Pelodiscus sinensis: one gene and its partners. The protein of the gene in region 1 interacts with the protein of each later gene in a pairwise test. Links are inferred from orthologs where the notes say so. Each region holds a gene or a part of one and is shown in the gene's direction. Other genes may lie near its edges.

The links.
Region 2: the proteins of SRRM4 (region 1) and ZRSR2 interact in binary tests that used the Homo sapiens proteins (3 or more experiments, as listed by UniProt). The link is inferred for Pelodiscus sinensis from reciprocal best matches to the Homo sapiens genes SRRM4 and ZRSR2.
Region 3: the proteins of SRRM4 (region 1) and SRSF11 interact in binary tests that used the Homo sapiens proteins (3 or more experiments, as listed by UniProt). The link is inferred for Pelodiscus sinensis from reciprocal best matches to the Homo sapiens genes SRRM4 and SRSF11.

The regions. Positions count from the first base shown.
Region 1 is NC_134725.1:10,306,411-10,313,853, reverse strand, and holds the start of SRRM4 (serine/arginine repetitive matrix protein 4), read left to right. Parts: upstream 1-4,031; 5' UTR 4,032-4,343; coding exon 4,344-4,654; intron 4,655-7,443. UniProt on the Homo sapiens protein: Splicing factor specifically required for neural cell differentiation.
Region 2 is NC_134711.1:211,583,804-211,591,861, reverse strand, and holds the start of ZRSR2 (U2 small nuclear ribonucleoprotein auxiliary factor 35 kDa subunit-related protein 2), read left to right. Parts: upstream 1-5,025; 5' UTR 5,026-5,201; coding exon 5,202-5,248; intron 5,249-6,998; coding exon 6,999-7,078; intron 7,079-7,521; coding exon 7,522-7,654; intron 7,655-8,058. UniProt on the Homo sapiens protein: Pre-mRNA-binding protein required for splicing of both U2- and U12-type introns. Selectively interacts with the 3'-splice site of U2- and U12-type pre-mRNAs and promotes different steps in U2 and U12 intron splicing.
Region 3 is NC_134719.1:20,887,527-20,895,813, forward strand, and holds the start of SRSF11 (serine/arginine-rich splicing factor 11), read left to right. Parts: upstream 1-5,212; 5' UTR 5,213-5,516; coding exon 5,517-5,644; intron 5,645-8,287. UniProt on the Homo sapiens protein: May function in pre-mRNA splicing.

The DNA.
Region 1 (7,443 bases):
AACTGTGGCATGATGCACAGCAACTTTCTTCAGGAGCTGCCATGGAATGCTCTTGGTGGGGGCTGAGGACATTTTTAATGGACTTTTAAAGTTACATGAGCGACGCAAAGTAGCGTGTATTCCCTCCCCCTCCCCCACAAAGAGAGAGACTGAAACATCCTGTGATGAATAGGTAATAGCTATGCTGCACCCAAAAGAGAGGAGCATGACAGGATATGTGCATGTTCTTTGTCTTATAGACCCTGTCGAAGTGAACCCTTTCCTGTGATGATCCCTATATAGAATTGGAAAACCAGGCTGCAGAATTCCCTAGCATGGATCTCATCAACTCTACATGATGGCTTAGAAATCCTGGAGAAATGTCAGTCTTCTCAGTTATATTTTTAGAGTAATATCTATATAGGAACCTATTTAATGTTTATAAAAAACCCTATTGGATTCCTTCTGATTACAGTTAATACTGGAAGATCCGTCTTTGTAACAATGTATGGCTGCAGAACACATACTCTGTAATTGTCAGTCAGTCATGTACATGCATTCAGGTTCATGCCTCTTGGCTTCAGAAATGCAGATTTCCACCCAGAGAACTAAACAAGAACAGTTAAGTAGGTCACCCAATAAAGATGATCTTTATATGCAGACAGGTGTGAGTCTTCTCCAGTAGAGGGCACAGAGTGGTTGTATACTCACAAGCCCTGTGTCAGAAAACAAAGGAGCCCAGTTACAGCGTGTTTTCTTGAAATGACTCATTTTTTTTACTAATTGTCATAATCATAACCATTCTAGTGTGTTTCTCTGCCCTGACACAGGAGGTCTCTCCATCCATAACGCTCATAACATCCGGAAATATCATCTTTTAAGGCAATCGGGCAGTGCCTAGATGTTCCAGGGTGGATCCAGGACCCCGTTGTGCTAGATGCTACCCATGCACTTTATTGACACTCCCTTCCCAGATGCTTTACAACCAGTGTTCTTTCTGCTGCATCATGTAAGGGGTTAAAAGTGGGCCTGCTCTCACCAGACCCCACAGCTCCTGGTCACATACCTCTCCACAGCTTGCCTAATTCTTAAACCTGTCTTCATTCCTTCAGCAAGTTTTTACTCTCCCCTCTCCTTTACCCAGGCCAAATTCAATGTTTTGTTTTTTTCAGGCTAGTGTAAGCTGCTGGCTTGAAGGGTGAACTGTTCTTTAGTGCCTGATGCCCAAGAACTTGCTTTTGCCACCAGCTCCTTGGGAAGCTCTTTTAGCTCTTCAGAAACAGAGTTCTCTGCTTTTAGCATTAAAGGGCGGAGTCCTATTCCCTGCCTTCAACCACTAATGTAATTGAGGAGCAGATCTCAAAGAGCTTTACAAAGGTCAGTATCATTTTTATGTGTATCTTCCAGGTGAGGAAACAGCCCAGAGAGTTAACCACTTGCCCAAGGTCACCCTACAGACCAGAGTCAGAGCTAGGAATAGAACCCAGGGGTCCAGAGTTCTGTTCTCTAGTCTAGACCACAGTGCCTCCCAATGACAAAAGGGTCATTGCACAAGGCTTTGTGAAGTGCTGCATCAGATCTTTAAAATCTAGATCTGTGATATCTATAGCACTCTCTTCATCTCCTGGTGTTCTGCTTCTCCAAAAAAAGTGATCTGGTTTCTCTAGTGTGATTTTGGTTTTTTATAAATGCATACTGCTTATTGTTCCTGGTTCTATTATCTGCTACTTGCTTACATAAATGTTTTGTGCAAGATTCCAAGGTACAATATATATAGTCTCATTCATTCAAGGTCAGCTGCTTTTACTTGTACTTCAAAGTATCAGGCACAAGGAGTAATTTTTCTAAAGATTTTTTTTCATTCTATTCAGTACAAAGAGGCACACAATTCAGCATGTCCAACTGGCATCAAAGAGCTGCCCCCAACTTGTATCATTGCATGTGGCATTGATCTAGATAATGAAACTGTGTAGAGACAGGAATGCGTTCTACATCTGATTCCTAGGGTGCCACCTGTCCATATATGATGGCATACTGGTTAGAGCCCAAGGGGAGCTGTATCCCCTATGGAGTCAGAACAAAGTGTCACACCAGGGGTGCAGAAATAATGTGCATACTGAGGGTGCAAAGAGCCACTGAACCCAAACTGCAAACCTTGTGTATGTTGGAAAACACTTCAAGGTTGGAGTGCCAGTGCACACTGGGTTCCAGCACCTATGTATCTCATTGAATGACTTTCACTCATGACTTTCTCTGGTCTCTGGCTGTTTCCCAAACCTGGTTCCATTGGTATTCAGAGACTTTGGTGTCTCTTTAGGGTAGCCAGATAATGCAGGGCAAGTGAATTCTAGGACATCTGATTATAGGCAACAAACATAGGAGGAAGACTCTACAATCATGTCTGCACTGATCTACTTCTGGTGCCACTCCATTGTTGGTTGCAATAATGGAAGTGCCATTGTTTGTAAGCAGCCTTTGCTATTTTTGCCTCCATGATGTCTGGATTATTCTGGCTCCAAATCTATCCAATAGGGACTGGTAAATCAAGCTGATGATGTTCTAAAAGCTCAGTGATCCACTTGTACACTGGAACTTTTCCCTGCCAGTCTCTCAGCTAGTGTAAACTGGTGTGGCTCCACTGACCTTTAATGGAGAGGAGAGCTTTCCTTGTAGCCACATACAATGCAAACCTACAGCCTTGCCACAAACTGAGGCCCTGTACTGCTGTCATGGACTATCAGGTAGGAAACTCCTCTTTAAGATCAGAAGGCGAGGGGCTCCTGCAGACCTGGATAGAGCACTACTGTCAGGTCACTCTTCCTCAAGGAGTGCACTGACTATCCAGCATGATGTTTACAGCAACCCTTTCCTAAGGGTTGTTCAGTAGCAGTTTGCAGGTGAAGAAAACCTGATGGGACAGGTCTCTGGGATTTCTTGTTTTCCAGGTAGATTCTACAGTCTGAACCCTTCTTTCTCAGCCACTCCCCTGAGAGCTGGGACCTGCCCACTGCCAAGCCTACTCTCTGCATCAGCCAGATAGGGTCACTTGATGACCTCACAGGGCTGTCGCTGCTTTCAAGGGCAGATGGCTCTGCTTGCCCCATGGGACTGATTGGCTCTGAGGCTTTATTCTGTTCATGTAGAACTGCAGCTGCTGGGCAGCAGCCAAGATGTGCTCCACTAGAGCAAAAGCAAGTCCCCCGCCCTGAAGAGTTTACAGTCTGTGGGGTGGAGAGCATGGTTAAAGGGCAGAGGAGAGAGAGGAGCAGGCCTTGTGAGCTGGATTCATAGTGTGCAGAAGTTGTTTGAATAGCTGGATGGGGCTGGTGGTGTCGCATAGGTGTTGGCACAAAGGCTGGGATATCAGCACAACCCCCATGGGGAGCATCAGGCTGGAGGTGCTGGAAGAAGGGAAGCAAAGATGTGGACAGAAGCATGAGTGGGCCAAGAGAGGTCTGGCAGGTATTTAGATGGCAGGTGGGGAGGTTCAGAAGGAGAATTCACATGACCAGTATGGGCATTCTGAATTGGAGGAGGAGGAGGAAGTTGGAATAATTAAGATGACAGGAATTCACAGCACACAGGAACTGTGGCCCTGAGTTCAAGAGGGTCACACACTCTCCCCAGGAGAAAAGCAGAGCTGACCACCCCGGGCTCCCCGGGGAAGGTTTGGGCAAGGATAATCCCCTCCTCCTGGCTGCTAGCTAATGCAGCAGCTGTCGGCCCCTCCAGAGACCAGCAGGATTTCTGCCCCATCCCTTGTTATGCCCGGAGCCATCTACCCATTTTCTGCCTGAACTCCCCGCTGGAACCAACCTCTCCATTTCTGAGCAACTCTTCTTTCCCACCCAAATCCCCGCCTCTACCGCCCCCTGCCTTGGGCTTCTCGGACGGCCGGGGGCTGGACTTTCTTGGCCTGCCGGGCAGCCTCGTGGGGCCCAGAGCGGGGTGCTTGGCACTGTCGGCTGGGCGGACGTCAGGGCAGTGTCCTGAGGGCTGGGGGCAATGTCAGGCAGAGCAGGTGGCGAAGGCTTCTCCTGCCAGGTCTCCTGGCCGGCCCTGCAAGCGGGGCGCAGCGTGGGGAAGGGCTGCACACCGCCTCTAGCCCGGGCCGCGCTGGCATGAGTTCCCCTCCGAGGCGCCGTGTCCCTGGGGCTGGCGAACGCGTGTGAGGCTTGGCAGCTGCCCGGGGCTGTGGGGCTAGGGGCTTTGATCTCGCCCAGGGCGCGGCGAAGCCAGCGCTGGGCCACGGTGGCAGCCGGCACACGCGGCCTCCTCCCCGCGCCCTGCCGCCTTTTGTGATGCAGATGCAGCCGGGGAAGGCGGGGGGGATGGCCAGCCCCTCTTCCAACGTCACGTTGTGAATGAGACAAAACAGGAGCCTGGCTCGGGCTCGCAGACACACTCCTCTCCCGCTCCCTCCCCCTTGCGCGCCGGCGCCGCCGGGCTCCGAGGCGCCCCGAGCGAGCGCAGGGCGGCTGGAGGCCGGGCGGGGGTTTCAGCACCGCGGAGAGCTCCCCGCGGCGGGCGGGCCGGCCCCGGGCATGGCCAGCGTGCAGCAGGGCGAGAAGCAGCTCTTCGAGAAGTTCTGGCGAGGCACCTTCAAAGCCGTGGCCACGCCGAGACCCGAGAGCATCATCGTGGCCAGCATCACCGCCCGCAAGCCGCCGCCGAGGTAAGGGCTCCGCCGCGCCCTGCGCCTGAGCCGCTAGGACGCAGGTCACCGCTCTGTAGGAAACTTTTCCTAGACTCCGCGCGCGGGTGCCCGCGAGCGCTCGGGTTCCCTAGCCGGGCTCCAAGGGCAGCCAGGCATGGAAACTAAGCCAGCATCTCCCTCCTGCTGCGGGGTCCGCAGGGGCCTGTTTCTAGGTCACGGTCCGCCTGCAGGGGAGTTGGTTAGCGGCCGCAGGGAGTCCTATAGTTGGAAGGGGCTAGTCACAGCCGTGGCTTGAAAGAAAGGTCCCGGGAGAAATAACATCCAGGCGCTGAACTGAGGGCAGAAAGGAGAGGGAACCAGGAAAGACGGACCAGGTACAATGTAGTAGCACTCACTGACAGGGTCAAAGTCTGATCATTTCAAGATTAACTCTGAACAAAGCCCTGCCCTGATATTTCCTGGCTATGTATAGCGGCCACTGGGTGGATTTGAACTTGGGATCTTTGGAGCTTAGTGTAGGAATCTCTACAAAGCCTGCACATCCTTAGCCCTTCCAGAACTGCTCCAAGCTCCCGCAAAGAGCCTAGCAGCTTTGATTTCCAAGGAGAAACACTGCTGGGTGAATGCTGCAGAACTGGTGATGTACCCAGTAATCTCCTTTTGGGCACACCTTTCTTCTCAGGGCAAGTACACAAGCAAGCACAACTGTTCAGGGAAATGTGCACAGAATGCCAACGCATCACACACGTTCCTTGCAAATCCATATTCCCGTGGGGAATAGCCTAGAGCCCTTACCTTGTGCTTTTAGGAGGCATCCCATAAGTAAACTTCAGTAATAACATGTGACCCAGCTGACCAGTACCCTAGTACCACCAGCAAATATTCAGAGTAGTGGTCCCCGTGAAGCAGGAATATGTTTGCATAGCCTATTTGTTGGGGGAGAGGGAGAAACCTCTACATTTCTTGTGTCCCAGTGGTTCTCAATCTTTCCAGATAACTGAACCCCTTTCTGGGAGTCTGGTTTTCCTCTGCTCCCCCCAAGTTTCCCCTCACTTAAAAAGTACCGGCGTATGAAATCAGACATAAGATTACAACAGTGTCATGGCACACTGTTCCTGAAAACTTGCTTTTCTTTTTTATACCATGTAATTGTAAAATAAATCAACTGAAATTATTGTGCTTACATTTCTGTGTATAGAGCAGTATAAACAAGTCATTACCTGAATTTTAGCTTCTAATGACTTCACTGATGATTTTCTGTAGCCTGTTCTAAAACTAGCCAACTATCTAGATGAGTTGATGTATCCCCTGGAAGATCTCTACATAGCTCCCTGGATGCATGGTCCCTCAGTTGAAAACCACTTGTGTACACCATTCCTTGCAAACCAGGTGACTTAGCTCTAATTTTGAGTTTATGCTAAAATGTCCCTGTAAATGTTGTAATCAATAACTTAGTGAATTGTAGCAGGGAGGTGGGGGGGGTTGTTTGTTTGTTTGTTTTTGTATGGAGGTGGGGTTGTTTGTTTTGGGTTTTTTTAGAATGACTACTAATGAGAATAGGCAGGTGCATCCTAGAAATACCCAAATCTGTGAAGCTAGCATTGTTAAGACTTGCTACATCCTGGGGCTAAATCTTAAGGTGGCAGGCCTCAATATCTTACTATCTGCCTCTGATACCATAGAGAACATCTGAGAGATGATACTTGAAACATCTGATGATGATATTGTATTTAGTAATTATGGAACACACTGGTCTATAACTGTCTAAGAACCATTAGCGAGACCAATATTTTACTTGACATCTATGTTTGTTCCTCTTTATTCTTGGCAAGAGTTGAAGTGTCTAGGAAGGTTAAAACAGAGAAATGATGGCTCTTTACTTAGTCTTTTGTGCTTTTGAATTGATATTAGCATTCAAACAAATAATTGGTGTAGGTATCTATCCGTAAGTCCTCAGAGGATTTCTCATAAAAATCAATCAAAATACAGGGCCACCAGGATAAAAAGACTGAATAAAATAACTTTTAAGAACCATGAAAAGAGAAAATGTTTCTTTGCTTTGAACTAGGAGCACAGTATAGTGTGTTAAGGTCAGGGTTTCTCATTTTCTTGGGTTGCTGCCATTAATTTCATCCTTTGATGACTGAGGAATACTGCGAGTTGCATTCAGTTCTTAACAGAAGAAAATGATTGGATTGTATACTATCCTGGAATTTTACAGCAGCTTACCCCAGAACCTCTCTCTTCATTGTTGTGCCTACAGCTATTCAGTCTGTCCTATAAGCAATTTTAAAACCTTTGGCATAGAGTTAGGTTTTCTTTTTTTTAACCTCTTCCCACCTTGACAATCTAGAAGTCAGATCCTCAATTAATACAGATCATTGCAATTCAACTGAAGTTAACAGATCTGTGCTGGCTTACATCTGCTAAAGATTTGGCTTTAGATATTTAAAAAGGAGTTTCATGTCCCTGCTATTTCAGTTCTTTTTAGCATGCAGAGGACCCTTTCTTTCTTTCTTTCTTTCTTTCTTTCTTTCTTTCTTTCTTTCTTTCTTTCTTTCTTTCTTTCTTTCTTTCTTTCTTTCTTTCTTTCTTTCTTTCTTAACTCCATACCCACTCTAGAGAATAATTGTGCTTTAGAACCAGCACTGGCAACTTTGCTCCAGAACCAGTACCCCAACAATCCATAGAACATTCTCTTAGAACCCTCAGAATTCCCACTGATCCAATCTGCATTGCTATCATTTTAACTCTAGAAACTAGAACCCATAGAATGATGGCCTACTGAGCTTGCCCATCTCTGACCT
Region 2 (8,058 bases), on another chromosome or scaffold:
AGAACTTCCGCATGCAGAAGGCCACCTTCCTGGAGTTCTATGAGTGGCTCACATCTGCTCTCAGGTGACAGGACACCTACATGCAACCTGCCATTCCCGTGCAGAAGCGTGTGGCCATCACCCTGTGGAAGTTCATCACACTGGACATCTACCATTCAGTTGGGAACCAGTACATCCCCATCCAAGCAGGGAAAGGAGGGCAGGAAAAGGGAAGGGTGGGTGATGAAAAGCACACAGAGGGAATAACTAGAGTTATTTTGAAATAACATAGTTTGCGTCTACACAGCCAGCAGTTATTTTGACATAGGGTGTGTGTAGACTACAGGGATTTTTCGACAAAAGTGGCCTTTTTCGAAAAAACTTCTCGTGTCTAGCCTGTTGCTGCGTTCTTTTGAAAGTAAATGAAAGGAACGTGGCAGTTTTTTTGACAGTGGAAAACCTCATTTTAGGAGGAAGAACGCTTTTTTCAAAATAAGCTACTCAATTATCTTATTTCGAGTTAAGCCCTGCTGTGTAGATGCACCCTGTCTGGAATGCACCACAGCATGGCAAAAATATGTTCACATGTATTTACAGTTGCAGCTTTGGAGCTGTGGGATATTAATCGAGGGGAAAATGTACGATTACTTTTTATGGAAGTTGATGTAAAAGAAGTATCCCCAGAAATACATTTTCTCAGTTTGAATTGTGAAGCAATTTGAAGACGTGACTTCTGCAGACCACTGGAAACTTGCTGCTAAAAGAACTATGTGTATTAAAACCCATGTACTATAAAACTTGAATGATCATATTAGAAATCTAGATTATTTTAGTTACATGAATGGAACATGCTGATCTAGACATCATATTTGTCCATTTTTGCATCAATAATTATTTCAACATCCCCATACTATTTGGGATGTATGGAATAAGTTTTGGGGAGCATTTAACACAGAAAGATACATATACGCAATATTGTACAGACATTGCAAGGACGGATGATCACATTTTCACTGGACCATTGTCTTTACTGCTGGCTACATGAGACTAATCAGTTTTTATGGACAAAATTACACTACTATATTTTCCCCAAAAAATATATAAACATAGAGAGTGCTGGGCAGAATGTCATCTTTTGAACCAGTTAAATATGTTATGAAGTCTTAAGAATGATTTTTCCATAAGGACATAATGAGTGATCATAATAAACAAATGGATGCTGAAATTAACCACTGAAAAGTGCAGTACAGGTTGGACCTACCTGGCCCAGCACCCGCGGGACCTAAGCTGACCTGGACCATGGAGGTTGCCAGACTGCTAGCTGCTCCACTGCTAGCTGCTTCACTGCCAGCTCCTCTCCTTGGGGCTCTCAAGGCTGGGGCTCCCGCCCTGATTCTGCCCCACTAACCCATGGCCTGTCTGGGATTCCCCAGCTAGGGCCACCTGGCCACTGCCAGCCCCGTTCAGCTGTTGCTTTTCTTGCTACCTCCTTGGGTTCCTCGGGGTTCCCTGGCCCTGGCCCCGGGCCCCTGGTTGCTGCTGGTCCCACTGCTGTGGCCTGGCCCCCCTGCTACCCAGAGTATCCTAGGCTTTCGTGACCAGGGCTGGTTGGCCTCACTGCCACTGGGGAGTCCCTGCTGGGACCAGAATTCACCATCTGCCACCTGTGGTTCCCTGGCTGGGGATCCCAGGCTGCTGTGTGGCCCCACTACTTTCCAGGGGTTCCCGGGGTTCCCCAGCTGAGGCCACCCGGATGTCGCTTGTCACGCTGCCAGGGCCACTCTTGCTGCCTAACCCCACTGACATCCGTGGTTCTCCAGCAGGGGGCGGAGCTTTCTCAACACTGCCTGGCCCCATTGATGCCAGGTTCCCCTCCCTAGTCACTGCTGGATCAGCCGTGACTCTGCAGACGCCACATTCTCCTGGCTGGCTCCCACTCCCAGGTCTCTTTAGTCCAGCAACATCCATGGCCTTTCTGGACCACAGATATTGCTGGACCAGAGTCCCAGATTTGGAAGGTTCAATCTATATTATATTGTGAAGAATGCACAAAAGAATGGTTCACAACTATGCCTAATTTTCTGTTGCTGAGGGATTTCAGTTAAGAGATTTATCATACTGACTACTATTATAACTCAATAACTATACAGGAGATACCAGAATTGAGAGAGATACTGTTTTAGGTCTTTTACAACTTTTCTGAGAATCTAAGGAGTTGATTAGTTCTCAGATAGCACACTACTGCCATCTGCTGCTTCTAATGAACAACAAATTCATTATGGGTTCGCCCTCCCTGGTCTAGCAGCCTTGGGACCCGACCCATCACAAACAAAGAAATTTGTCAGATCTGGGGAGATCCCCTGCCACTGGCCTCCCAGTTCACTACTGGCTCCACTTCTGGTCCCTGTCATCCTCCTTGCAGCCAGCCAGCTGTGCTGCCAGTCCTGCCCACACCTTCCTGCTGCAGGGCTTCTGGCCGCATTGTGGGGCTCCCGGCTGTGCCATGGGGCTCCCTGCGCTGCTGGAGTTTCACTGCTATAGGGCTTCTGATTGTGCCACTGGGCTGCCCATGCCACCTGAGCCCCCTACCACTGGGTTCCTGGCTGTGCAGACAGCTCTCCCACACCTTGCCGCCGGGCTACTGGCCCCACCACTGACCCCTCAGCCCCACTGCCAGCCTCCCAGCCCTATGGCTCTGCTGCAGGAACATCTGTGGGTCTGCTGGACCACAGATGTTGCTGGACCAGAGAGTCCTGCTTTATAATTCAGTCCTGATGAGAGGATCGTTGTCTGCCGATTACATATTCCTGGCAGCTAAGATGAAAACCCCAAATTATACGCAGGAAAGGCTAAACTATTCATGGTAGTTCTAGTCCTGAACAGTGAGGAACTTGTTGCCAAAGGGCTGACCTAGTCGTGGATTTTGAAGGTTTGCATTATCTCTGGCAAACTGTTTAGCATATTTTTTGGTTAGTCTCTAAGGTGCTACAGGACCATTGTTGTTTTTAAAGACGTTTTAGTTACAGACTAACCTGGCTACCCCTCTGAGACTGTTTAGCATGTGTAGGTTCTTTTACTGTTTTCAATATTTTCTCTATAATAATTTCACTTTAATAATAAATGTGCTTGTTTATAAATAGCTGTATGGTAATTTGTAACTGCTGGCAATTACAACTTTTAACAGCCTTCAAAGAGTAAGCAAGCAGAGATGCTGGCCTGTTTAGGCCATCTATCTTGCTGGAGATATCATGCTGTAGGCAGAGAACTCTGAAGCCCGGAAGAACCCACAGTCAGGAAGGAGAAAGACATGAGTCTCCACCCAAGAAAGTTAACTGAGGAGCCAGGAGAAGGGGTGGGAGAAGAGAAGAAATACAGATGCAGTTGCTGGGGATATGTCTACCCTACCACCCTAGTTCGAACTAGGTGTACGAGGTGTACCGGTAGTTCGGAATAGGAAGCCTAATCCGAACTACCTAGTTCGAGCCGCCTGTAGCCGCGGGCACGGAGTCCGAACTAGTGGACATTTAAAAATGGCGGCGCCTGGCCATAAGCAAATGAAGCCCGGGAAATTCAAATCCCGGGCTTCATTTGCAACTCCTGTTGCCTACATTAACCACCCTAGTTCGAACTAGGGTGGTAGTGTAGACATACCCTTTGAACTATGACAAAGAAAATAGTGGCTAGCATAGCCATTTAGTATGACTTTATAAAACGTATCACTGCTTCATTGCTAGCAACTGAAGAAGGTATTTTTTGTGAATTTTATGCAATAGTTCTGGGAACATCAGGAGCACACAGCCATGTACTGATGTATATCAGTAGTTTATGCCTTAATATTCCTTTACACTCTGCAATGTTAATGGATATTTCAAACTCAGGCAAATGAAACTGATTCATTATTGCAGAAGGGGATTTGAATTGCGAGCTTTTCCAAATGCATCTGATCTTCAACATAGGCAAAAACAACTACAGATCTGGCAACTTGCATGTTAACTTTGTGTGATGGGTTCTACATGGGACTTCTGATTTCTGACATCAGGTGAAATGCTGCAGAGATGACCACCAGAGTATACAGATAGCTCAGTTGTTGGATTTAGTGATGTACTGTTTTTTGTCTCAACTGAAATAAGTCTGGCTTTTTTAAACATGCTCTTTAACTCTTTTGTGACTGCTTCCCAAGAAGCTAGATTATTTGAGTGCCTTGTGATCCTAGAATCACCAAGAAGGCATTGTGTAGAACTTGTGTACACGTAACTGACTACTAGTACCTGTATCAATTGCAAGGATGATAAATGTGATTAACTTCTAAGATAGTGTGTTAGAGTAACAAAGGGGATCTCAGACCATTTCAACATCCTCTTCCAGCTAGGAGGCTCTATCAAGTAAATGATTAGAATTAATTGCATCCAGATGGGCATAACAGCTCAAAAATGGAGCAGCTATCATGAATATGTCCCTGATGGATGTTCCGGCTGACTGGGAGAACAAACAAGTTCTTTAAACAGGCTATGTCTAGACTATGGGGTTCTTCTGGGATACCGCCGCATCCAGGGAACGATGGAAGGGAAAGAGGAGGACTTTCCGAAATTTGGCCCAGTGTAGCGGGGAGGAGGGTCCTATGTGGCCCAAACCCATCCCTATTGGTAGAGGAGGGTGGGAGTTCTTGGGTCTATCTGAAAACCATGGGCAAAGCCCGCCCACGTTCTAAAAGCCCCTCCCCAGCCTTACAGGAGGGACAACTGGACCCACGTCCAACTGATTACGGTGGACAAATAATGACAGGAGGCTCAAGGAGTGCGGGTCACGGGTTCGAAACAAGGGAACCAAATGGGGACACCGAGCAGAGAACTCCCGTGGGAGCTCTTGGGGCAGAGGGGGTCACAGGACACCCTTTACTCTGGGTCACGTGTCCATCTTGACCTGGGGCGGGACTTCCTGTGACAGCTGGGGCGGGACTAAGGACTCAGGGGCGTGGCTAACACGGCCAGGGGGCGTGGCCAACATGTTCCCGTGGGGGGGGGGGGGAGTCGGATGCCATGGTCGCTGTAGGGTCCAGGCCCGGCGCTCAAGCAAGGACACGGCGCAGAGGACATCAGCCAGCCGCTCTGCCGCGCATGCGTAGTTCCCATCGCGCCCTTCTTCCTCCCGGCCCAGGGAAGCGGAAGGAAGGTGCCGCTTCATCCTCTTCCTGTTGTATCATGTGACGCGCCTTTGTAGACAACATGGCGGCCCCCGTGCTGCTCCCCGCGGCGGCGCCGGAGAAGCTGGGGTGAGTCCGGCGGCGCTGTCGTGACGGCTCCTCGTTCCGCCCGTGCTGCCGTTATCTGCCACCCTCAGCCCCCCCCCCCCCCCCCCGCCTCCCGCCGCCGCACACACCTGCCAGCATCTGCCGTGCAGCTAGTCCGGGCCCCTCGCCTGCCTGCTGTGCTGGGGAGCGGCCCCCTCTTCTCTCCCCCCAGCGGGTGGCAGATGGGCTCCGAGGCGGGGAGGTCTAACAGGAAGCACGGAAACGGGCTTGACAGAGATGGAGAACCTGGTAGACAAGGGTGCTGCTGCTGTTGATGACTAAGAGCGTGACGGTTTGACGACTAGAAGGGGCTAAACAGGGGTTATTGATTGTTGGAATCCAAATGTCTTGGTCGAGGCATAGTCAAAGGTCTAGACTCTAGAGAAAATAACAAATGTTAATGATAATAAAAAAACGTGTTGGCATATGTTCATCATTGTTTGGCATTCCGGATTTGACCCACAACCTGCCTGTTGACTATCTCTGAGCTAAAGAGTTGTGGAGAGCTTTGAAAGGATAGGAAGCGTGAATCCTGAATGTGAGGAAACTGGGATTAAATGAAGAAATTAAAAAAAGAGGATAATGCATTTAGAATGGATGTTCAGGGGAAGATATTTTGACAGCTTTTTTTTTTTTCCAACAGTGTGTGGTGTGGGAGGATGGCTGTAGGAGATAGTCCTTGAGAGTGGGGAGGAGAGTTCTCAGCGGACTGAGCAGAAAGAAAATTGCAGATTTGTAGGTGTATTATGGAGGATGAAGCAGCAACATTTTTGGATGCTGCCTGGATATTTGGAGTAAAAAAGAGCCATCAGAGATGAGTTGTCTCTCCAGCTACAAAACTTCATTACAGGCCTGAATGAGAGGAAGGTTAGAAATAGTATTGATAGTGACAGAAAATTGGAGAAGTAGACAGACTTTCAAAAGGAAATTATGAATTCAGTTTTGGCTGAAATAAATGTAGAGTCTAATTGATTTAGAGTTGTCAGACACAGGCCGAGATGTGGCATTGGCAAGAATTTAGAATTGGAAAGGTAGATCTGAGAATTTTCTGTTGCTTTTATACACCCACACAATATTTAGAGGAGAAAGTGGATAAAGACAGAGTAATATGAGACAACAGGAGAGAGGAGGAAGAGGACCAAGCAAACGGGATGCCAGAGGAATAATCGAGAGATAGAATAACTAGGAGAGGACAGAGTTCAAAACTGTCAGTGCGAAGTCTCATCTCTCCACATATCATAAAGCATCTGTGATCAGCAGTGTAATATCAAAAACAGCAGAGAATTCAAGGAGAATGAGCTGCTGTTTTATTTTATTTTATTTTTTTTAAGCCTAACTATGATTATTACTATTGGCCAGACATAGTTTTGATGACACATTTTCCTGCTTTTAAAAAACCCAACATCTGAAACTTTAATACAGCGGTTCTCAAACTTTTTGGACTCCGGAGCCCTTTACGTGCATAAACATTTATGCAGAGGCCCAGCGGTCCACTGATTGTATGTGTTGTACCTATCGATGTTTCCAGTTTGTCAACCTTGCGGAGCCCTGGGGCTCCGCAGAGCACAATTTGAGAAATACTGCATCGGTGAATATTTGGTGTTATTTAATATCTTTGATTTTATGAATTAGTGTTGCTGAAATTTGAATATGAAATGTTATTTTTAACTATGTAATGAAAAATGTTCTGAAGACTTTTCATAATATAGGTGATATACTTTGCCTTTTTCAGCCATAAAAAATACAGAGCTATTCTGAAGAAAGAGAAACGAAAGAAAAAAAGGCAAGCACTTGCCAGGTTAAGAGATTCAGGTAAACAACTAAGCCTTTATTTTTGATACTTTGTAACAATGTACGCATTACTAATTCTTATTAGGAGAAAGAAAGGAACATTAAAATATGAGCCTACTTTTATGATGGTCCAGAACACACACAATTTTAATGATGCTCCAGAAAAATGGAATTTATAATATAAAATTTTTCTTTAGAAGATAAGTACATGTAGCACAATATTTCCCACATACAATGTCAGATGACTTACAACAATGTATAGTAAATATTTTTGAAGTTTCTTAAAGGTTTTCTAAATAAACCTTAAATTTAAATCTCTAGGATTAAAAAAAAAAAGAGTGCACTAACACATTCATATCTTTGATTAAATGGCATTTTAAATTTTTAATTTAAGGAGAAACTATTTTAAAACTAATGTAGCTCTAATTTGAAGGTTTATATTATAGCATTTATGTTATATACAGTGATTGAAGCCCAGGAGAAAAAATTGTATGTAGAGGGACGTGTTACTTTTTCCTCAGAAGTCACTGAAAAAGATGAACCATTGTCTGAAGAGGAGGAACTGGAAGAAGAGGAAAAACAACTTGAGGCTGAAAGGTAAATAATCTTGTGTTTAAAATAATATCAGCAGCTGAAAACTTGTTTAGTCTTTTATTTAATTAAATATTAAAATCTCTGACAAGTAAATATATAATTTATCCATATTATGCAGTTTAGTCAAATTTTGCTGAAAATTTAACTGGATCCAACAGAGTTTCCTGGCAACAGAATAAAAAATGGAAGTATAACTGTCTAAAACCCTGTTTAATTTTCCCTGATTTTTCCAGACTCAAAATGGCATTTTGATATTAAAAGTACCTGGATAAGCACCTTTTATGGGGAAATTTAATGTTAGGACAATGTCTTTGTAATATGCTGCAGTGTTCAATAATTATAATTGTATTTAATAAGCCTGCAACCACGGTACATGAAATATAAACAAAAGTATGTTAACAACTTAG
Region 3 (8,287 bases), on another chromosome or scaffold:
CAGAAAACATATTGCAATCTCTAGAAGCTGACCTCTCAGCCTAGACAGGCACACACATAGACCTGTTATCTTCCATACACAAGAATCACATCATTGTCTTTAAAAAGGTGATTTTATTAACAAAACAAAAAGATATACTTGGTTGCTAGGTGTCACAGAGCAACTGAGAAAAGAGCAGATTAAAAGAAAAAATGGTATCTCTGGGACAGCTTACGTACAGTGAATGGGGGGAGGGAGGCACATGGATTTCACTCAGAGAAGTTTAACAAAGCAGAAAATAAAGAAAAATACCCTGACCACAACTAAACATACATTTCTTTATCTACTCATGATCAGTACTGATCCATACTTCAAGGCCAAGTGCATTCCCATTGCCAATATTTCTTGAAGGCATGGTAATTCCATATCATCTTGTTTCCTCCAGCTTCTGACTTAGAACTCACACAAAGGCTATGTCTAGACTGCAGGCTTCTTTCAGAAGAAGCTTTTCTGGAAGAGATCTTCTGGAAAAACGTCTTTAAAAAGAGAGCGTCCACACAGCAAAAGTGCATCGAAAAAGCGATCTGCTTTTTCAAAAGATAGCGACCAATCATTGTGGACGCTATCTCGCATTCAAGTTGTGATTACTATGGACGGAGAGGCCACTAGGGCACCTGTGCTTTTTCCTGGAGGCCTCTTCTTTGGGGGGGAAAAAAAACCCCTCTTGCCTGTCCATACACGCTTTTTCCCGAAAGAGCTCTTTCGGAAAAAGGTTTCTTCCTCACAGAAAAAGGTTTACTGCTGTCTGAAAAACCACTGCGTTCTTTCGACTTTCTGCGAAAAAAACACAATTGCAGTGTGGACGTAAGTGTAGTTTTTCCCAGAAAAACTCTGCAGGGTAGACATACCCTAACTGAAGTGATCCATGACTGCAGGTCTGTTTCCCAATGAATAGACACACTATCAGCTGTTACCCAACTAGGCTAACAAGTTGTCACTCCATGCCACTGACTAAAACCTTATAAGGTCTGTGATAGAAATGTAACCGTGTTAGTCTGGGGTAGCTGAAGCAAAATGCAGGACAATGTAGCACTTTAAAGACTAACAAGATGGTTTATTAGATGATGAGCTTTCATGGGCCAGACCCACTTCCTCAGATCAAATAGTGGAAGAAAATAGTCACAACCATATATACCAAAGGATATAGAAAAAACAGTTTCTTGCCATTTTAACCAGAAAGGACACTCTCTCAATGACTTAACCACCTGCATTCTGCTACAAAGACCTTTTACATCTGCACTTGAAAGGGAATCCTCTGAACTGTCATTCATGTTAAAATTCGACACTCTCCGAGAAGGAATGAACAAATGCTCAAACTATCTTACCCATTACCAAGATAGCTTCCCCAATTATCACCTCTAATACCATTAGCTCACAGACATCCCACTCTCCCCACCTCTAATATCATCAATTCACAGACACTTACCTTCCTTCCTCCCCCTCCTCCTCCGCATCCCCCTCCTGTTCTGAAATGTGATTTGTCCTTTTCATATGTGTTCATTTTTTTAATTGTATTCTTTGGTATATATGGTTGTGACTATTTTCTTCCACTATTTGATCTGAGGAAGAGGGTCTGGCCCACGAAAGCTCATCATCTAATAAACCATCTTGTTAGTCTTGAAAGTGCTACATTGTCCTGCACTTTGCTTATAAGGCCTGTGACTCAGGGAGGCAGCACTCACCACAACCTCTCAGTGAAGTCACAGGGAAAAGAAAAAGAGCATCCAAAGCACCCTGAGTGCCCAGTATTTATGGACTATCATTGCCTAGTGATATCTTCCCATTCTGTTCCCTGGTCAAGGAAGAAGTCTGTCCAAAATGGAGGTTCACCTGTTGTTTTAAACACAAACAAAATGGCAAACCCATGCCCAAACAGTTTAAATATCCCAACTGAGTTAATAGTTCCTTTGTAACATATAAAGGAACCAATATTAACAGCTGCGCATTTCCCCAGACCTGCCAGCTGCCTGCTTGGCACAAATGTGCAGGTGCAAACAGACTAGGGAAGAGATGTTCAAGGAAGCAAATGCAATCTGACAACTTGGACAAGGAGCACATAAGCAAGTGGAGGAATATGCTTGCTGGAGGAACTGCACACAAAGCATCAGGCAAGGAGAGCGTTCAGGAAACGGGAAGTGAAGCACTAGGAGGGAGTGCTGTCATCCATGGCAAATGTGATGGACTGCATGGTGTCACTCCAGGACTCCTTCCTGTACAGGCACCCCTTACGGCCTTGCAGATCTATGTTCCCTCCTCCCAGAGTTCCATAGCATCCTCTATCAGAGTGCCTAGAATGTAGAGGGAGGAGAGTCAAGGGCAGCCACACGAGTCTCTCAAATTGTCAAAGTTTGAAGTAGGAATAAGATCCTCCAGAAAAGGGCGCTTTTTCCGGAGGATCGGGGCCAGTGTAGACGCTCTTTTCAGGCTTTTCTAAAAGCCGGAAAAAAGCGGCGGACATTTTTATTTAAATGCCGCGGGGGATATTTAAATCCCCCGCGCATTTCCCTACTACGATGGCTGAAATTAACATGCCCCTTCCGGAAAAGGGGCCAATGTAGACGAGCCCTGCTTGTATTGAAGGATGGGAAGGGAGTGTTACAGGCTAGCACATGGAATGCAAGGGTACCTCATTGAGAGCAACATGCATGACTCTGAAAACTGGCCATTCATAAAACTGTCTCTCTGATTTATTTGGGCATAAGATTTCATAGGCTCGATGAGCCCATTTCGTTACAAGCTAAAAAATGCAACCCCCCCCCCCCCAAAAAAAACCCAGCAGCATTCTGGGATGTATTAGAGAGGAGTATTGTAAGGAAGATACCAGAATTCTTAATTCTACCCCATGTTGATTAGGCCTGACTGAAGTATTGTGTCCAGTTCCGGGCACCACATTTCAAGAAAATATGGACAAATTTCAGAAACTCCTGAAAAGAGTAACAAAAAAAGATTAAAGGTCTAAAAAACATAACCCATTAGGGAAGATGGGGGAAAAAACTGTGTTTGTTTCGTCTGGAGAAGACTGAGGGGGAACATAATAGTTTTCAAATACATAAAAGAACGTTACAGAAGGAAGAAAAAAATATTCCTGAAACTATGCATACAGCACAAGAAGCAATGGACTAAAATTGCAGCAAGGGTGGTTTAGGTTGGACAGCAGGAAAAACTTCTTGTCAGGATGGTTAAACACTGGAATAAATTCCCTAGGAAGGTTGTAGAATCTTCATCATTTGCGATTTTTAAGCGCAGTTTAGACAGAACGGCTACGTCTAAATTGGCCCCTTCTCCGGAAGAGGCATGTTAATTTCAAACTTCAGAATAGGGAAATCCGCAGGGGATTTAAATATCCCCTGCGGGATTTAAATAAACATATTAAATAAATATTCCTGAAAGTAGGAATAAGATCCTCCGGAATAGGGCTTTATTCCGGAGGATCGGGCCAGTCTAGACGCTTTTTTCCAGCTTTTCCCCAAGCCGGAAAAAAGCGGCGGCCATGTTTATTTAAATCCCCCGCGGATTTTCCTATACTGAAGTTTGAAATTAACATGCCTCTTCCGGAGAAGGGGCCAATGTAGACGTAGCCAACATCTGTCAAGGATCTAGGTAATACTTACTCCTGTTGAGCGCTCTGGGGCCAGCAACAAGGGGTTAGGAAACATGGCCAGCAGCTGGGGCCGATGGCCAGGATTGACCTCCCCTAGTCCAACCAACTACTTTGCAACTGATCAGGTCCCAAGGGAACAGAACCAGGGAGGTCCAACCTATACTGAAGAAGCTGCTTCTCTGTCTGGATGCTTCTAGTGCATTTACTAACATAACCCCTTGATGTTAATGGATATGGGGGGGGGGGGGGGGGTTGGCAAATCTTATTTGTTACATTAACTTCACTTACAGCAAAATCAGGTTGCAGATTTATTTTGTTTTCAACATACATGTTAGAAAGGAATTACTCTGGAACTGAAAAATTAATGGGAAATTGTTATTCAGGTACTGTCGCACCCGAGATCATCTTCTGGCATTCAATTTAGTGAGTCTAGTGAAGACCTGCTAAACTGAATGCTGAGCGTGCCCTCAGTCAGCACCAGTACTCCTCAGTCGCAAGGAGTAAGAGAAGCCGATGGGAGCATTTGTTCCTGTCAACCTCCCACTGTGAAGATAGTGCCAAGCTCAGCTTAAGAAGTATGGACTCCAGCTACATTATTTAAACAGCTAGAGTTGAGTATCTTAAGCTGACCTTCAAGTCTAGTATTGACTAAAGATGTTAAGAGGCAGGTATCTGACTAATCATTTAGTTGATACAAACGGCTACATGATTAGTTGATAAGAGAAGGCACTCTGTACCAGCTCGCACTGGTCCAGGAGCTATCCCCACTGCAGCTCTGCAGTTTAAATGTAGTAGGAGCCAGGCGTGCAGGTAGCCCAGCTCATACAACATTTAAATTGCAAAGCCACAGTGAGGTTAGGACTGCAACTGGCACAAGCTAGAACTGAGCCAGGTTTGCTCAGTCTCAACTTTTGCTGGGTCCAGTAGTCCCTGCCTGTACCCAACCTGAGCCGCCACAAACAGAGGCTGCTGCCTTTCCGCGTGGGGGCAGCACCATGGAGACAATGCTGGGGGGGGGGAAACCAGCCGGCTCCTGTCCCCCTGCTGCCTCTGATATAGAGGGCAGCAAGGGGACGGGAGAGGAGGGAGTAGTTCTCTCGACTACTCTCTTACTTCCCTAGACCTGGCCTTAGGAACAGGCTTTGCCAGCTGCTGAGCTCCCTGGGTGCCCTCAGAGCCATCTGGAGAAAGGGGCGGCTCTGCGCCTGGCAGATTCAGGCCCTGGCGATTCAGAGGAAGCGCCCTGCAGCTCTAGGCCCCTAGAAGGGGGCGCTCAGGCAGGCGTCAGCTCAGAGCGCTCTAGCCGCAGGCAAGCCCCAGACTGGCCCCTCTGCCTGAATTTTCTCCGCCCCGCGAGGATTCAGTCACGAGCCCGGAGGAGGAAACAGGGATAACGGCCCTCAGGCCCAGACGCCTCTCCTGCTAAGTCCCCAGTGCAGCAGCCCATACTGCACATGCGCGGGTATTTCCATAGCCATGGCGCGAACATGTCGCATGCGCGAGAGCTGCACGACATGGTTGACTGCATGTGCAATAGCTGCAAGTCCTTGGGAGAGGTACAGGCAGTGGACATGCGCAAATGGGGCGTCTGTGGGCGAGGCGAGTTGTGCGTCTGCGCAAGATCATCGAAGTACGCGGATCGCGCTTGCGTAGAGAAGAGCAGTAAAGGATTGTGGGATACTAGTTACGGCCCGGGCAGGCTGCTGGAGCGGGCAGCTGGTGGCAGTTATTACTCCACAACGGTTGTTTTGTGCGCGAGGCCCGTGGTTGTGCCCGGACGGGTAGCGGCAGGGGACACAGCAAAACGCTACCCGGTTCCTAACGCGCTCTTCCCCTTCCCTGATGTGTTTGTAGCACTGGAGTGGGAGGCAGCGCGATGTCTTCAAGCAGCGGCACCGACGTGATCCAGGTCACCAATGTCTCTCCTAGCGCCAGCTCCGAGCAGATGCGGACACTCTTCGGCTTCCTGGGCAAGATCGAGGAGCTGCGCCTTTTTCCTCCCGAGTGAGTCCGCCAGCGGGAGCGGGCCCCTTCCTCCCCCGCGCCATACTCGCGTCCCCTCCCCCACTCAACGTCCCGCCTCTTTCCCATCCCGCCCCGCGCTTCGCTGCCGTCTGCCGAGGCACGCTGAGAGTGTCAGGCCCTGGGGCCTAGCTCGCCATCTTCAGGCCTCGGCCGGCGGTGCGGCGGGATCGGGCTTCCCCGCGGAGCTGTGATAACCCCCAGAGCCTGCCTCAGCACCTCGCTAGTGTAGACCTCCGAAAGGGAGAGTTAGCGGTGTGGGGGAGGGGGGAAGTGTCGTATCCCGCCTGTCTCACATGGCTCCTCCTCGGCCCGCAACGTGCCGGGTTACCTCACGGCCGGGCACTCGTTCCCGGAGCAATTTTCAAAGCATGTGTGAGGGAGGGCCCTGAGCCTATGGGCAGTTATCCCGGCTAAATGCACGTCCTCTTGCATCGCCGACTGCCCCGGAGCCTCCAGGTGTTGAGCTACGTGTGGTGGGATTGCTCTCTTACGGAGTCACCGCTCACCTGTTGGATAGTTTCCATTAACGAGCAGTTACTACAAAAATAGCTTTTGTTTTCCCCTTTTCACAAATTGATTTTTTTTCTCTCCCTAACACACAGAAAGTGCAAGGTGGGCAGTAAATCTTAAACCAGTTATTGGGTTAAAGTCTCGTAAAAATTAAAACCAGCAAACAGTGCTTTGCATTACTGAGAATGATGCCCCCACCCAATCTGCTTCCAATGGATTGCAGTTTTTTTTTTAAAGGGTTTCAACTATTTAGAAATGTCTAGACAGAAAAATAGAGCTTATGACAAGGTATAAGTTTTTACAAATATTTAACAAAAATATGCATATACATAATGATTATTTTAACGCACATCAGATCTGCTGAACTCACAAATTGTAATCCATGCTCAGAGAGCTTTTAAATAATTACAGTTTTTTAATTTATTGTGATACAAGAACTGAAAACAGCATGCCATCTGTTTCTGTTCCTTTTTTTTATTTGTGAAGCAGGATTGCCTTTATTTTCATATAAAAAGATTTTGACTGTGCCTGCTCATTACTCTCCCTCAGATGGTTTCTAATATACCCATTTTTTCACCTACTTTCAAATAGTTGCTGTTCGGGGGGGAGGGGGGGAAGAAAATTAACTGCAAAAGCGACTTTCCTTTGTGCCACATCTCTCTCTCCCCCCCACAAATCCTCCAGGTATCCTAGATAGATGTGTATATATTCTAACACAGGATTTTTTAGTGTGTGTGTGTGGTTTTGGCATCCTCAAATGAACACTGGCAATCTGAACCCCATTTCAATGCAATTTTGAATAAGAATTTGTAGTGTAGAGGAAAACTAGTGGATGCACAGAGATTCAAGTTGATAGGTTTTTATTATTGGAATACAGTAAAACATGAATGTTTTCATTTGTATATGGAAAATCCTATTTAAAGTGCCAGAAAAGTGTCATTTTCACCAAATAACAAGGAGCTAGTGTCTTTAGCAAGAGAAATCTGTTTAGGTTGTTAACATAGTTTTCTTCATTGTTTTGAGCATTTCACAATCATTAATTTGTATTATGTTTCGACATCTGTATGAAGTGGATGTTACCACCCCTCTACAGATGGGAAGTTAAGGCATGGAGTGGATTGAGTGACTTTCCCAAAGTCTGGTTGAACTGGGTATTGAATATATTTAACCTAGGTCTCTAAAATACCAGTGAAGTGCTTCTACGGCTTGTATGCATATAGCTTTTGGTAGTAGCTGCTTCTAGAAATAACTCCTGAAGCTTCACCTTTTTCTGCTAGAGAGTTCAACAACTCTCTTGTTTTTTGTATACCCCTATGTTGTTCTTAATTCGTCCCCACTTATTAACACAGGCACCCACATTCAATACAAGAATACTTTGTCAAAGCCTATATAATTGGTTGTGATAAGTATGAGAAACAGAATCATCATGTCTCTATCAGAGGTAAAAAAAAAATCTGCCCAGGATAGAGCAGTATTGGTAGGGTGCATGCATTCTTACTAAAGAAATGCAAAATTTCAAAATCATATATTTGCACTTGACTACAGTAGGAGACGCGTATAATCTCTTTAGTTTGGCACTCTGTCTCAATGGTACTTTGTCCATTTTAAGGTGGATTTTTGTTAGAGTACACACCAGAAATGGATTTTAAGTTACACATTACACACAGATAGACTTTGAAAGAATATTCATTAAGACCACAAAGTAAGCACTTCTTTAATGAAGGATACTCTTCTCTGTAGTACTCCAGCTTTATAGAGTGACTGAGAGATGGGTTTGTAGGAATAGAAGTACTGGTAACACCCAACTTTTCTCTCCAACCCCTGATTAATCACCAGAACAGAGCCATACTATGCACTGAATGAGGCAGGGCTTTTGAGGATAAAATAGGATATGGTTGTGTAATTAAAATAAATAAGCTAAGTTACGGTTACACAAGTAACTTTAATACTAACATTTCCCAATTTCTTATTGCATGAATTAAAGTTGTAACCTTGGTATTCTTTTAACTTGGTGTGTAGTTTCTAGGTATTTCAAAGAGCAATCTCAGAAATTCCATAATGTGTTGTTACATTAACTCCAGCATAGGGCATCAGCAGAACTGAAACATTGAG